Linked DNA regions of Diceros bicornis minor. The protein of the gene in region 2 purifies or fractionates together with the protein of the main gene of each other region. This does not show direct contact. Links are inferred from orthologs where the notes say so. Each region holds a gene or a part of one and is shown on either strand. Other genes may lie near its edges.

Region 1 (7,115 bases), on a different chromosome or scaffold from region 2:
TGTTGTGTGTATGTGTGCATGTTCTGTGTGTGTACTGTGTATGTGTGTGTTGTGTATGTGTGTTATGGCGTATGTGTGTTTTGTGTGCATGTGTGCATACTGAGGATGCAGACATGTATATGCAGGTGCATTGTGCAGGTGCTCCGGAGCGTGTTAACATGACAGCCTGCATGTGGCAGTCCCAGGCCCAACCCCAGCAAAGTCGGGCAGGTGAGTCTTGAGCTTCCCTGTCGTTCCCAGACAGACTTTCAAGTCCTCATCACGTCTCCTGCCCCTGGTTGTGCATGACCGCACCAGGCTCCTCCTCCTCAGACTCTGTCCCCTTCAGCATTGGGACAACCGTCCTTGGAGATGCCCACCTGAGAGACAGCAACTGACAGCATCCTAATAGGACCTGAGCCTTTGAGGGGACCCTTGTGGGGCCACCCCGCTTACAGCACTGAGGGGGCTGCTGCACTCACACAGCCGGCCTCTGCTGGCCTTTTTCTACAATAACTGCAACCCTCACACCACCCCAGGGAAGGAAGCCTCACTCCATTGCTCAGGTGGGAAGTTGAGGACCAGAGAGATGACAGGATTTGTCTGAGAACAGTCAGCTGGGAAGCGGCTGAGCTGGGTCTTCTCTGCCACTTCTCTCCCTGGTCCTGACTCTCCCCTGCCTTCCTCCCCTTCCACACCTCCTTCCTGCTCCTCAATGTCCTGGCCCAGGGCACCACAGCTTCATGATTTGAGAATTCTTCAGTTTTTCTCCCTCCCTGTGCCTGATCTCAGCCAATGACAAACCTCCTCCATCCCTCAGCCGTCCAGTCTTAGACCAGGGGTCAGCTTACCTTTGTCTACTTTCTCATGCCAAGCCAACAACCAATGCTGACCCTGCAAGTTTCTCCTGAATTCCCTTCTCGTCCACCTCCCGCCCACTGACTAGGTTCGGGGCAGGCCTGTCCCTGCTTCTGGGGCAATTCTGGGAGTTGCCCAGATTCTGGAAACTGGGAACTCTGGGAATTCTAGGAACTCCCCCACAGCCTCCCGACCGGCCCCCTCCTCCTGTCCCTGCCACTCCACATCACGTCTGCCCAAGACCCACTGTCGCCTTCCCAACGGGCACATCTGGCCATGACCTTCCTCGGGCCTCAGGGCACAGGGCACGCCCTTCGGGCAGCTCCCAGGCGCTCAGGACCCGTCCTTCCTCACCCCTCCTCACACTCCCTCTGCTCTCCCCGCCAGGCTGACTGAATCACTTCCTTTCTCTCAGCACAGAGCCTGTGCTTGTCTCTGATGCTCTGGACATCAGGTATTTCTGTCCCCAAACACCTTCCCACACCCTCTCTTCCTCTTTCCCCCCATCAGACATCACTCCCCTGAGAAACTGCTCTGAAGGCCTCAGCCCGGCTCAGCTGCCACTGTCTGGGTCCCCAGGCCCCCGGGACCTCCACCTCTCCCTGCATGGGTCATGGGCCTGTCTGCACCCCCTCTGGGCTTTGAGCTCTGTTCAGGCAGGATCCTGTATACTCATCCTTCCCACCCTGCATCTCCAGGATTTGGCAAAGGGCCTGGCTTGGGGGCCAAGGAAATATACATGGAAGAGGGTTGGAGGATAAGCAGGGCCCGTCCAGCTCCTCCTCCAACTCAGCCAGGGCAGGGCAGCCCAGAGACCATCCCCACTTTGGAATCACAAAGGAATTTTTCACTCTGAAAGTAACTAACTAAGGCAAGGCCTGGGCTCTGCACACAGCAGCTGGGGCAGATGAAATGTGAGCTTGGGCTCTGCCCAGATAAGGAGATGGTTGCCCAGGCAATAGAGCCCTGATTTGGTTTTGGCAGCAATAAAGTTCCTCCCCAGAACTGAGTGATACACAGGGTGGACGACCCTCTAAAGTGTGATGTGTGTCTTTCCAGAATTGCCCCGTTTCCAATAATAGCCCAAGTCAGCTTGTTCCTTTTCAGCTACACACCACTGAGCTCCGCCTGCCCCTCCCTGGAAACTGTGTGAATCTGGACGTCAGGGCTGATGAGAGAGGAGATTCAGACTCAGAACGCTGAAATTCAAATGCACTTAATAAGGCAGGACAAATGCCATGGAGGAAAGAGGAGAGAGAAAAGGCCGGAGCTGAGGAGGCACGGAACTCCAGCCAACAGCTGAAGCAGACAAGGGGAGGCTCACTCACTTCCATTCTTGGAGTCCCACCCTGGCCACACTCCAGCTTCTTCCTGCAACTCGGGCAGCCACAGCTCCCAGACACCCACAGCTCTTCCCACAGAGGGGTCCCTGCATGCCCCAACCCACTGTGCCAGACACAGAGAGGAGGCTCACTCTGCCTGAAGACTGACGACCTCATAGTTCTGCAGGAAAAGGGACCTTTAAACAACAAATACAATGTTCCATAAAAGTCTTCTAAAGCCTTTGCATGCTCGAGAGTTAACTGTGCCCAAGTCCAGGAACCCAGACTGAGGTCTTTATAGGAGCAGAGTGGCCCCCCCGCCCTGTGCTAGAACCACTGATAGAAATTTCCAGGAGACTTACCTGAGCCATGGTGTACTGGGGTTCTACTGTTCACGGACCAGCTTTTATATCAAAGTTTAGAATTTCACTTTCACTTTCCTTCTGACACTGTTTGAAAACTACTCAATACTAAACATTTTTAAAAGAGAGACTAAATATTTTCACTAAACAGAAAGGCCAATGGTTACTTACCTCAAAACATGGAATCATTGGTGCTTTACAGCCACCCGGAAGCAGTCAGGGTAGGAGGGAAGGTTGATAAACTGCTCCTGCTTGAGAAACCCCAGGTCTCTTCCAAAAAAAGCCCTGGGCAAGTGTTCTTACTCTGAGAAGGGGCAGCATTTAGAGGCACAGAGGTGTCAACCCCCAGTGCACCCCATAGGCCATTGTCTTGTAACGACTCTAGGAAATATTGGGTCAGAAGCCATGGGGCAGGTCATACAGGGTGATGTATTCCAGGGGAAAAGCATTCAGATGGTGGGTGCCTTGGACCAGGTGGGGCCCAGGAGATCATTGCCCCCATAGGATGCGTTTGGCTGCGAGAAGCAGAAGAGGGTTACAACAGCCTGGACGTTCACTGTCTCTGGAACAGGAAGCCAGGAGGTGGGTGACTCTGCTTCAGTTCAGCAGCTCACAAGACCACTGAAGACCCAGGCTTTTCCATCATGCTGGTCCTGTGTCTGCAGTGACATCCTGCGTGGTCAACTATGGCTGCAGCAGCCTCAAGTGGCACATTTTCACCTGGCAATGTCCAAAAGCAGTAAAGGAAGGTGTTTCTCACCCTTTGTCTCTTTTTTTCTGGGGGTAAAGTCTTTTCCATAGTCCCCTGGCTGTCTCACTCCCATCTTTCACTGTCCAAATTTGGGTCACATTTCTACTCCCAAACCAATTGTGGGCAAAGGGGAAGGGGCTTCCTGGCAGGCTCAGACCACTCACAGTGCGTCAACTGGATCTGTGGAGGGGCTCCTACTGCCCAGTGAACAGCAGGGCTCTGTGAGCCTGGGAGAAGCTGAGTGACAGTGGTGTGTGTATGGGGTGGGGGAGAGAGACGGTTGTTAACTAGGAAACCAGCACATAAGATGCACTCACCTACTTCCCATCCACCATAACAAACAGCTTTATTATAAGGCAACAAAGAGGCTGAAACCAGTTCTCAAACACTCAGACTGCATCTCTATATGACCTAGCAGGAAAAATGGGAGTGATTGACTCACTGGAGATACGAAGACAAAGCAGCACACTTTCGGATGTGGGCAGAGCCCCCATCAGAACGAGCTCATGCCCCCGAGGACTCAGGAAGGGCACAGACTCTCCCAACGTGAGCCCCTGGCCCCAGGTTACCTTTACCAGACAGAGCTCCAGACACAGTGGTCCAATGTCCATTGGCTCCTCTGGCCTTGGCCTCAGGCCTGGTACCACCCATTCTGTTTCCAAGTGACCTTTATTTGTAAAAGGACCATGAGAGTCACTGGCTGTTTACCTCCCGGCATTAAGGTCATGTTCAAAATGGAAAAAGCAAAAAAAAGTCAGCTGCCAGGCCTTGTCTCTTTCAAGTAGTGTCACTTTGGGCAGTTGCCTGCCCTCTCCTCATCTCAGTTACCTCCTCTTTAAGAGTGAGGGCTCCATCTTTGTCAGCCAAGAGGCTGTGAGTCTGGACTTGGACCTGTGGACCTGGAGCTACAGAAGGGTGGTGGCTCTGGTCATCGTTGGCCCAGCTGGAGCCACCTCTGTCACTGGACTTCAGTTACTGAGGCCTGTCTTCAGGTTAAAGCTGTGAGGTGCATTCTGCAGCTGAGGTCTGTGCCTCTCCCTTCAGGCGCTCCTCTCCTGCTTCCATGTCTGGGATGTGACACTTGCCACGCCCTTCCTGCCTTCTTTCCTCCTCAGCTGCTCTGCTGTCAGGGTTGATCAGCTCCTGAGCAATTTATGACATTGATCCACCCTGCAAAATGTGCAGCTAGCTCTGGGATTTATTCCACATCTTTGCCCACGGACATTTCTAGGGTCTTCCCTCATGCTAGCCAGTAACACATCAGAACACATCCTCCCATGTCAACCAGAAGAGCAGGAAGGACAAGGCATCTGAGGGAAGAGGTAGTGCCCATCATCAAGGTTGCACTGCTCCCTAGGTGAGCAAGTGACAGGGGCTGTCGGGGGTCTAACTCTGAGATGACTACCTCGTGCAATACCCAACATATGCTGGGACCTCACCTTGGACCTTTAATCAACAGGTATAGAGTGAGTGCCTACTGTGTGTCAAGCACTGTCATAGGCAGTCGGAGATCCATTGGTGAACAAGACTGATAAGAAACGGTGCCATAGTGGATCTTACCTCCTTGCTGAGTAGACCAACAAAAATTTAGTAAGATAGATATTGTGTGAGATGGCCACAGTCTGAAAAAATGGAGAAGGGAATGGGGGTGGTAGCGATGGGGAGGTGCGATTTCAGATAGTGTGGCTGGGGATGGCCTCACTGAGCAGGTGACTTTTGAGTAATTAACACAAGAAGGTGGGGAGTGAGCCCTTCACGTAGATGGAGAAAAGACTGTCTAAGGCAGGGAAGCAGCCATTGCAAAGGCCCTGAGGCTGCATATGTCTGCCAGGGTATCTGGAGCCAGGGAGCAGGTCATAGGAGTTGATAGCCGAGAGGTAACAAGAACCTGATGTACAGGGACTGCAGGCTCCTTTCAGGTTGTTGATTTTTACTCTGAATTAGACAGGAGCCACTGGAGGGTTGGAGCACAGCAGTGAGGTGCTCTGACTCGTGTAGTTTTCATAGACTGTGTCTGGTTCCTGTGTTTAGAATAGCCTGTGCAGTCAAGAGTGGAAGGCAGAAGAGCAGTTTGCAGTCTTCCAGGCAACAGAGCAGCAAGAAGTGATTCGATTCTTGATATATTTTGAAGATAGGGTGTATTAGTTTGCTAGGGCTGCTGTAACAAATACTATTGACTTAAAAAGAGAATTTTATTTTCTTGTGATTCTGCAGGCTAGCAATCCAAGATCAAGGTGTCAGCAGGGTTGGGTTCTTCTGAGGTCTCTCTCCTTGGCTTGTAGATGGCCGCCTTCCCCCTGTGTCTTCACATGGTTGGCCATCTGTGCATGTCTGTGTCCTAATCTCTTCTTCCTATAAAGACACCGGGTGGATTAGGACCCACCCAATTGACCTTATTTTAACTTAATTACCTCTTGGAGACACTATCTCCAAATACAGTCACATTCTGAGGCACTAGGGGTTAGGACTTCAACATATAAATTTGTGGAGAATACAATTCAACCTATAACACTTACTTTTTGGCATAGCAATAATCCACGTTTGTCTTGTGTTTTCCCTGTCCCTACCCTGGAGTTAGTCATTTGTCCAAGGAGCCTGGTTCCTTTCAATGGATAGCGGTATGTAGAAACTAAAATCAGAAGATTTAAGGAACATCTGATTTAGTTCTGTATCTTGGAGCCAAAAATATTCTTATGGGGACATTGAGCCTTTCTCTCTAAAGCAGTGTCACACACCCCACCGACAGGATTTTCCTCTCGGGAGGCAGGGTCCCTCCAATCTGCACCCCTTTCCCTACTGCCCAACAGATACTTGGATTTGCAGTTCCCTGATGGAGAGAGGAAGAGAGGCTCCTTCTGGGGGTGGTTGTGGGAGACAGCATGAAGGTCCCATTAATTTGTGTCTATCTGGGTGTCAGCTCCCAGGAATTGGTGTCCTGGGGCTGGAGAGGGAATCTGAGAAGGGAATCCTTGTGTCACATGGCCATGGACAGAGTGGGCAGGAGGAACACGGTCAGGACCTCAGGGTCAGGCTGAAAAAAGGGAAGGGGAAACAGCTAACTCCAAGTTCTCCTGGGTTGTGCCTGGTGCTCTGACACACTGAATATGCTTGTTCATGAGGCACATGTGTCCACATGCACAAACACAGAAAGCAATTTGCACATGTACTCAGTCTACAGAGCACACACAATATTCTCACGTGCACACACACACACACACAGCTGGACAAACTCGCCTCTTCCACATCTCTCAGCAGGCATTTCCCTGGGCTCCAGTCCCTGGCACCCCCACAAAGGGCAGCACCCCCATGAGTCACAGCAAGGCTGGGGCACCCTATGCATGACAGGAGCTCGCACTTGGCTGGATCCACCCAGGAATACCAGAGCCTGGTGGGGAAGATGAGGCTTAGTCTACACACCTTCCTCTCTCTTCATCTCCTGGGTTGTCTATGGCAGACAGCCCCAGAGCCTGGACACGTGATTGCAATTTTGACCCCAGCTGTGATCACTGGAGGACAGTCATTGGTCCATGTGGCTTCTCCAGGTAGGGACACAGTTTTCTGTTTAAACATCAGCCTTGAGTTTAGTAGTAGTAACCTTTGGTAAACTAAGGTCAGTAATTGCTCTGATGAGTCCATCAGCTGGTCCTTGAGGAAATAAAATCCTAGAGACCTTTCTTCACTGTCGAATGAAACTTATTCTGCATCAATAGAGTTGTATTTTTTCGTAAACACCCTCATGTGTCTCAAAAGTGTCAGGTGACAGGATGTAAGAGAAATGTCAGGAGCAGAACCTGTTTGTAAATGACCCTCACTGTGTTGGCCTGTCCGCAGAGAGGTCTGGGC
Region 2 (7,908 bases):
TTAAAGGTGAATAAAACGAAGTACCAACAAATTAAGGGGGCTTGCTAGTTAGTGGAAGAGCAAAGAACGGAGGTCTTCCAGATCCAGGATCATGTTCTTTGCAGAGCACGACCGCAGGTCCACTCTTAAAGCTTGCTATATACATGTTCTTAGGGCAGGAGGCTGAGTTCCCCTCACTGTGTGAGCCGGGGCAAGTTACCAGTCTTTTCCAGGCTTTTCCTCACCCATAAAATGGCTCAGGGAGCTTGTTTGGACGATACAGTAGTTCAGCCTTACAAGCTTGAAATTTCAAAGTGCCTCGAATACAGGCCATCGCTGCTGCTTGCTTATGTGGCACTTACCACAGTCTGCGATTACAGATGTGTTTGTTTCCTTGTTTCTTATTTGCCTCTCTCACTGGGGAGAGCTGCAGGGAATAAGACAGACAAGACCTCTGCCATCATCCAATTTATATTCTATTGGGGTGGGACAGATAGCAAATCAGTAAACATATACATAAACAAGAATCCCAGATAGTAATCAAGGTCTCCGGCCACGCTGAGGCCGTGTCCCACGTACAGCGACTGGAAGGATGTGCAGCTATGGCATACAACTATCTACTGGGGCTTTGGGGGAAAAAATAAATAAATAAAATTAAAAAAAAAAAAAAAGGTTATAAAGAAACCAAAGCAGGGTAATGAGACAGAGCCCCTGGAGAAGGGCGTGCTGCTTGAACTGGGATGGTCAGGGAAACCTTTCTGCATTGGCAACGTTTGAGCTGAGCTGTTCTTGGCTGTGAGAAGATCGGTGTTTCAGGCAGAGGCCACAGCAAGCGAGAAGTCCTACGGTGGAAATGAACTTGATATGTTTAAAGGTTAGAAAACAGGTCAGTGTGGTGGAGGTCTAGAAAGCTAGGGGGAGGGGTAGACATCAAGGTTAAGGGGTTGGGAGGGGCCACTCACGTAGGGTGTTATAGGAAAGGACTTTGGTTTTATTTGGAGTACAAAAGAAAGCCATTGGAGGGATCTGAGCAGGGAAGGGAGAGGATTTGACTTATGTTAAAGACTTCTCTGGAGGCTGTAAGGACCCTGGACTGTGGAGGGGCCGGATGGAAGCAGGGAGACAAGTCAGGAGGCCAGGGCAGGGGACACACGACAGGTACAGGTACGGCTGAGATGGTAACCATGGCGAGAGGTGGTTGGATTCTTGGCGTTTTGTGGATGTGGAGGTGAGGGAGAGAGAAGAATCAAGGGTGACTCCTCAGGCACTGGGTGGATGGTTGGTCCAAAGAATCTAGCAGAGGAGCAGTGGCACAGAGGGGACTCCAGAGTTCCATTTTGAACAAGTGAAGCTTGAGATGCTATTGGATGCCCCAGTGGGTTTTCAGGAAAGGAAGGGGCGGCAGAGGAGAGAGTGCCAGGCTGGAGTAGAAACATGGGTGTCAGGCTTGGGTGAAACCCCTAGGAGACAGTGCTGCAGAGCAGAGAGTGCCCAAAAGCTGCTGAGGCCACCAATCCCTCACCACATGGGAAATGGGGCAGCAGTCCTGTCTACCAGCATCACAGCCTCACATTGCATGACTCACTTTGCCAACCACCAGGAATGTATCGCAACATCCCTAATGGGGCAACTGCTAATGACAGAGGTCAGGAGGATGGTGGGGGCAGGGGTCCTTTGAGACTTCAGATGAGCAAAGAACAACTCTGTGGTGGCTAATAGACCCTTTTCTCCTTCCCCCCATGGCATCCAGGGAGGTACCAGGAGAGAGTCGAGTGATACATTCTTCTGCATCCTAGCCTCAGCCCGTAAGGCACAGAATTTGGGGGGTATGGGGGTATGATGCGGTCCAACCAAAAAGAAAGGAAGCCCGTAGCTGTTCACATTTATTGAGGGTCCACTATAAGCAGGCACATCCTAAGTTTCTTTCACTTAATCCTTGGCACAATCCCATGAGAGGAGAAGTGATGCCACGTTGCACAGCTGACCAGTGGCCCTGAAAGGACTTGGAACCCAGGACTTGCTGCCTCGTTGAGGCTCACCATACACACTGCAGGGCATAGACGCCCCTGCAGCAAGTATGAGTCACACAGCACCTGGCTTCAAGCCCTGGGAGGGGCCAAGGCCGCTGCCTGGGTGAGGGTGCCCTTCAGAGGATGCAACATTTATTCCTTTCTCTCTCGTGGGAAATGGAAATCTTTCAGGCAGGGCAGGACACTAACCCTGCCCGCCGCGGTTCCAAGGTCGCTGACTGTTCTTCCAGACGTTTTTGAGGCTCCACAGTATCCATACGGAGAAGGTTGTTTTTGTTTTCCAATGTTTTCCTAGCACCGCCGTCGCGTCTCCGAGATGGCTGGCAGAGTGTTTTGGACCGACGCGGCAAGGAGAGTTTCCCACCTGACCGCCCCAGAGGCTCTGAGCGCGCTCCAGAAAGAAATACCCACCCCCGCGGGCGGGGCGAGGCCTCACAACCTCGGCTCCGATTCCTGGATTCCTGGGCCCGACCCAGCTTCGCGGAGGACGGGGAGGCTGTTCTTCCGAGCAGGTGTCACCACCGAGAACTGTCAAGACTCAGAGGAAGGCGGCAGCTCCCGACCCCCAGGCGCGGCCGCGGCCCCAGAGGTTTGCGCACCCCGGCTAGGCCTCGCCCGGGGTCACCCTGGGCCTGCGGGCGGCTGGAGGAGCCCAGCAGCAGACGCCAGTCTCCTGGCCTAACCTCGCTGTATCCGGAGCAGAAGCCTCGCGCCACCCACCTCCCGACCCCGGTACCGGATGCTGCGCGTGGAGCCCTCGCTGCCTCAAGCCCCGTGTGCCTTAGGTCCCACTCTTCCCCAGCCCCTCCCGCCCTGCCCCCTCCCCGGCCCGCGCGCGCCCACACCACGTGCGCCCCGGCGGACTCCAAGTACCCCTCGGCTCCTGCCGCCACGGGCCACCTCCACCTCCCCGAAAGGCGTCCGTGCGCCCTGAGCCCAGAAGACCGAGCGCCCGGGGCGGCCAGCTTACCTCGGGTAGCCACGACCCGGCGACCGACCGCCGCTGACAGCCCGGAACCCTCCCCCACAGGGAGGGAGGGGTCGGGTCGGGGCCGGGCCGCGCGGCCATTGGCCAGGCGGCGGGGGCGGGGCTCGCGGCCCGCGAGAGCCTTGCGGCGCCCGGCGCTCGGCGGTGGTTTGAGAGCCTGGCCTCGCGGGACGGGCGCTCGGGATAGACCTGGGTTCCTGGGGGGGCACGGAGGAGCAGATTATTTTCTTTCCTTGTTTTGTCTCGAGCAACTTCCAGGGGAAGTCCAGGATCTGGCTAGAAACCGAGTGGGCGGCCGATCTCGGAGTCGACGGCCACCTCGGTCTCCGCGCTTCCTACGCGAAGCAACCCCTCCTCCGCGGAGTAGTTTGAGGGAGTGAAGATCTTTATGTCGTTCGCTCCTGGGCGCCCAGGGCCTGGCACACAGTTAGTGCTCAGTAAACCTCGGGTGTCAAGCAAAGTGCACAGGGGCGCGAGTGCCCAGCCAGGCGAGGCACATGCTGGGCCTGAAGAAGCAGGATCGGGGCGGGGTAGGGGTGGGCCGGGTAAGTGGTGCAGGGCAGGGGCGCCAAGGTTGACTCGCCAGTCACGCTGGCTGTGGGCCCGGAGTGCTGTGTGGGAAAGGCCTCTCCACCTAAGGCAAGGGTCTGGGGCCAGTACCTCCCTGCACTGCTTGCCAACAGCCTCACCATTCCTCTGGGGCAGAGGTCAGCAATTACTGAGCGTTCACTATGTTCCAGGTACAGGCTTAAAGTCTTATACCTTATGACCCATTAAATACTCTCACAATAACCAGGTAGAGGTTTATTTTTCCCGTTTTCAAGAGAGGTTAAAAAATTTGGGAAAATGGCAATTCTTACTAAAGTTACATATATGCCAACCCTATCACCCAGCAACCACTCCTGAGTATGTGTCCACCTAGAAACACACACAATAGATAATGTTCATAGTGGCTTTATCTACAACAGGCAAACTCTGGAAACAACCAAATGTCCATCAGCAGGACAATGGAGAAACAAACTGTGGTGTGCTGACACCATGGAATAGCATACAGCAGTGAAAAAGAACAAACTATTGATACACACAACATGGAAGAATCTTACCAGGATGAATGGGCACCATGACTAACCAAGCCAAGCACAAACAGTACCTGCTGTCTGTCCCCAGTTACAAGGTAAGATTCAAACACAGGCAAACCTCATCTACATAAATAGAAATCATTTCACTGGTTACCTCTGGGTGTTGAGGGGTGGGGTAGAAGGGAGCCTTCTAGGGGGATGGAAATGTTCTATATCTTGATGTGAGTGGTGGGTACATGGGCTTGGGCATATATAAAAATGCATCAGCTTACACTTAAAATTGTTACCAAAAAAATTGTTACACTTTATACTGCAACTTAAAAAGGAAGAAAGAAAGACAAATGAGGGGTTAAGAGATTTGGCAGAGATCATGTGCAAATGCCTGAGTACATACCTGTCTCCAAAGCCAGTACTCCCAAACCGAATTGCAGGAAGATGCCTGAACTCTTTTCATGTGAGATTTTATTACTTTACTTGGTAACCCTGTGGCTATTTCACAATGTTCAGCATTTACAAAATATTAATATCACACCTGAACTCAACTAACCATAGGTTAGTTGGCCAGCTCTGTCTTGTTTAGCCAAGACAGGGTGAATGTTGATTGGTTCAAGAATTACTCCTGCCTGCTACCTACCCCAAATCCAGTGACCTCATATCTAATTCTTGCAGGAAGAACATTGGGAGTGTAGCGACTGGCTTCCAAATGCAGTTGTCACCCCTGTCTTTGCTGGAACTCGAAGGGTATTAAAAAAATACAGCATCCTCAAAAACACAATACTTTCTTAGTCCATTTGGGCTGCTCTAACAAAAATACCATAGACCGGATGGCTTAAACAACAAACATCTATTTCTTGGTTCTGAAGGTTGGGAAGTCCAAGATCAAGGTGCCTGCAGATTCCATGTCTGATAAGGACCACTTCCTGGTTCATAGACGCAGTCTTCTCACTGTACCTCATATGGTGGAAGGAGCAGGGGAGCTCTTTCAGGTCTCATTTAAAAAAGCACTAATTCGGGGCCGGCCTGGTGGCGCAAGCGGTTAAGTGCGCGCAATCCGCTGCGGCGGCCCGGGGTTCGCCAGTTTGGATCCTGGGAGCGCACTGACGCACTGCTTGGCAAGCCATACTGTGGCGGCGTCCCATATAAAGTGGAGGAAGATGGGCACAGATGTTAGCCCAGGGCCAGTCTTCCTCAGCAAAAAAAAAAAAAAAAAAAAAAAGGAGGATTGGCAGATGTTAGCACGGGGCTGATCTCCTCACAAAAAAAAATAATAAAATAAAAATAAAATGAAATAAAAAAGCACTAATTCCATTCTTGAGGGCTTCACCCTTATGACCTAATCACCTCCCAAAGACCTCACCTCCAAATACCATCACATTAGGGATTAGGTTTCAATATAGGAATTGCGGGGGTGCATAAACATTCAGTCTATAGCAGATATCAACCAGTAGGATGGCTATTATAAAACAAACAAACAGAAAGTGTTGGCAAGGACATGAAGAAATTGGAACCCTTGTACACTGCTGGTGGGAATGTGAAATGGTGCAGCTGCTGTGGAAAATAGTATGGCGGTTCCTCAAAAAATTAAAAATAGAATTACTATATGATCCAACAATTCCACTTCTGGATACATACCCAAAGAAATGAAAGCAGGGACTCGAACAGATATCTGTACACCCGTCTTCATGGCAGCATTATTCACAACAGCCAAAGGTAGAAGCAACCCAGATGTCTATTGATGAATGAATGGATAAACAAAATGTGGTATATTCATACAATAGAATACATTATTCAGCCTTAAAAAGGAAGGAAATTCTAACAAATGCTATAACATGGATGAACTCTGAAGACATCATGCTAAGTGAAATAAGCCAGTCACAAAAGGACAAATATTGTATGATTCCACTTCTATGAGGTATCTAGAGTAGTCAGATTCATAGAGACAGAAGGTAGAATGCTGGTTGCCAGGAGCTGGGGGCAATGGAGAATGGAGAGTTAGTGTCTACTGGATAGAGAGTTTCAGTTGGGGAAGGTGAAAAACTTCTGGAGATGGATGGTGGGGAAGGATGCACAACAATGTGAATGTACTTAATGCCACAGAACTGTACACTTAAAAATGGTTAAAACAGTAAATTTTATGTATATTTTGCCACAGTAAAAATCCTGGCCTTGGTGATTTCCTGCCACCTTTGTCAGGGAACCAAAGGAGGACACAACATCACATCTATAGTATTCTTCCTAAAACTCACAATTGGAGGCAAATCATGAAGAAACATCTAACAAACCCCAAATGAAGGACATTCAATAGCTGTCCTGTCCAATATAGCAGCCACTTGCCACATGTAGCTATTTTAATTAAAATTAAATAAAATGTAAAATTCAGTTCCTCAGCCTACAAGCCACATTCCAAATGCTATTTTCATGTGGCTAATGGCTGTCATATTGGACAGCACAGATATAGATTTTATAATTTTCTATCATCCCAGAAAGTTCTACTGGACAGTTAAAGTTATATTGGACAGCACTGAACTGCAGAATAACTCTTCAAAAATGTCAAGGCCATGAAAGACAAGGAAAGACTGAGGAACTGTTCCAGATTAAAAGAGAATAAAGAGAGGTGACAACTGAAAGCAACATGGCACCCTGGGTTGGACCTGAAATAGAAAAAGAACATCAGGGGCCGGCCCCGTGGCGTAGCAGTTAAGAGCGCGCACTCCGCTGCTGGTGGCCCAGGGTTCAGATCCCGGACGCGCACCGACGCACCGCTTGTCAAGCCATGCTGTGGCGGCACCCCATATAAAAAAGTAGAGGAAGACGGGCACAGATGTTAGCTCAGGGCCAGTCTTCCTCAGCAAAAAGAGGAGGACTGGCATGGATGTTAGCTCAGGGCTGATCTTCCTCACAAAGAAAAAAGAATAAAGAAAAAGAACAACAGTTGGACAAATGATGAAATCTTACTAAGAGCTTTTGGATTAGTTAATAATTTGTATCAGGGTTAGTTTTCTGGTTTTGATCATTGTACTGTGGTTATATAAGATGTAAACATTTGTATTATTTTTGCAACTGTTTTGTAAGTCTGAAATTATTTCAAGATGAAAATTAAAAAGTAAACTAAAATTTAAAAATCATCTTTTGACCCTTTCTGGCTATTTATATTATTTTATCTTTTATTGTTGATTGCATTCTGCCCTATTTCATGAGTAGAATTCATTGATCATTGTCCATTTACTAGTGAAAGGTGAGTCTAGAAAGTGATCTGTGCCCCAGCACCGCCCCCCCCCCCGGAAGGCCTCGGAACCACCCCACCCCCACCCCGTAAAGCTCATCCGGGGGCAGGTGGCCCATATCCCCAGGCCAGTGCTCTACAGAGGGCTGTGGCTCACATGTAATGACTCAGCAACCACCAGCTCACGTTTCCCCCCAGAGAGTCAAGTCAGGCCCAAAGATAGTGCCAGAGGGCCCCAAAAAGGGACATGTTCTCAGTCTGAGTCCCTTCAGGGAACTCTCCAACATTGAAAAACAAAATATAATCCCTACCTTTACAACCTCATTTCAAATAAGTTTTTAAACTGTTATTCTTTAAATTATTTTATTTTTTCATACTGTCAATTTTTTTTGGGGGGGGGAGGAAGATTAGAGCCTGAGCTAACATCTGTGCCCATCTTCCTCTACATTTTTTATATGTGGGACACCGCCACAGCATGGCTTGATAAGTGGTGCATAGGTCCGCACCTGGGATCCGAACCTGCGTAGCCTGGGCCACCGAAGCAGAGCGCGCGAACTTAACCACTATGCCACTGGGCCGGTCCCCACGCCATCAATTTTATTACAAAAA

Evidence for each region. The genes of interacting proteins can lie anywhere in the genome.
Region 1: the proteins of MAVS (region 2) and PLAAT4 purify together in Homo sapiens (affinity purification with western blotting; 4 studies listed by BioGRID). This does not show direct contact. The link is inferred for Diceros bicornis minor from reciprocal best matches to the Homo sapiens genes MAVS and PLAAT4.

Annotation. Positions count from the first base shown.
Region 1 is NC_080770.1:9,410,929-9,418,043, forward strand, and holds the start of PLAAT4 (phospholipase A and acyltransferase 4), read right to left. Parts: upstream 3,015-7,115; 5' UTR 2,711-3,014; coding exon 2,693-2,710; intron 2,615-2,692; exon of another isoform or gene 2,531-2,614; coding exon of another isoform or gene 2,522-2,530; intron 1-2,521. UniProt on the Homo sapiens protein: Exhibits both phospholipase A1/2 and acyltransferase activities. Shows phospholipase A1 (PLA1) and A2 (PLA2), catalyzing the calcium-independent release of fatty acids from the sn-1 or sn-2 position of glycerophospholipids.
Region 2 is NC_080758.1:32,224,798-32,232,705, reverse strand, and holds the start of MAVS (mitochondrial antiviral-signaling protein), read right to left. Parts: upstream 3,019-7,908; 5' UTR 2,980-3,018; intron 2,750-2,979; exon of another isoform or gene 342-2,749; intron 1-341.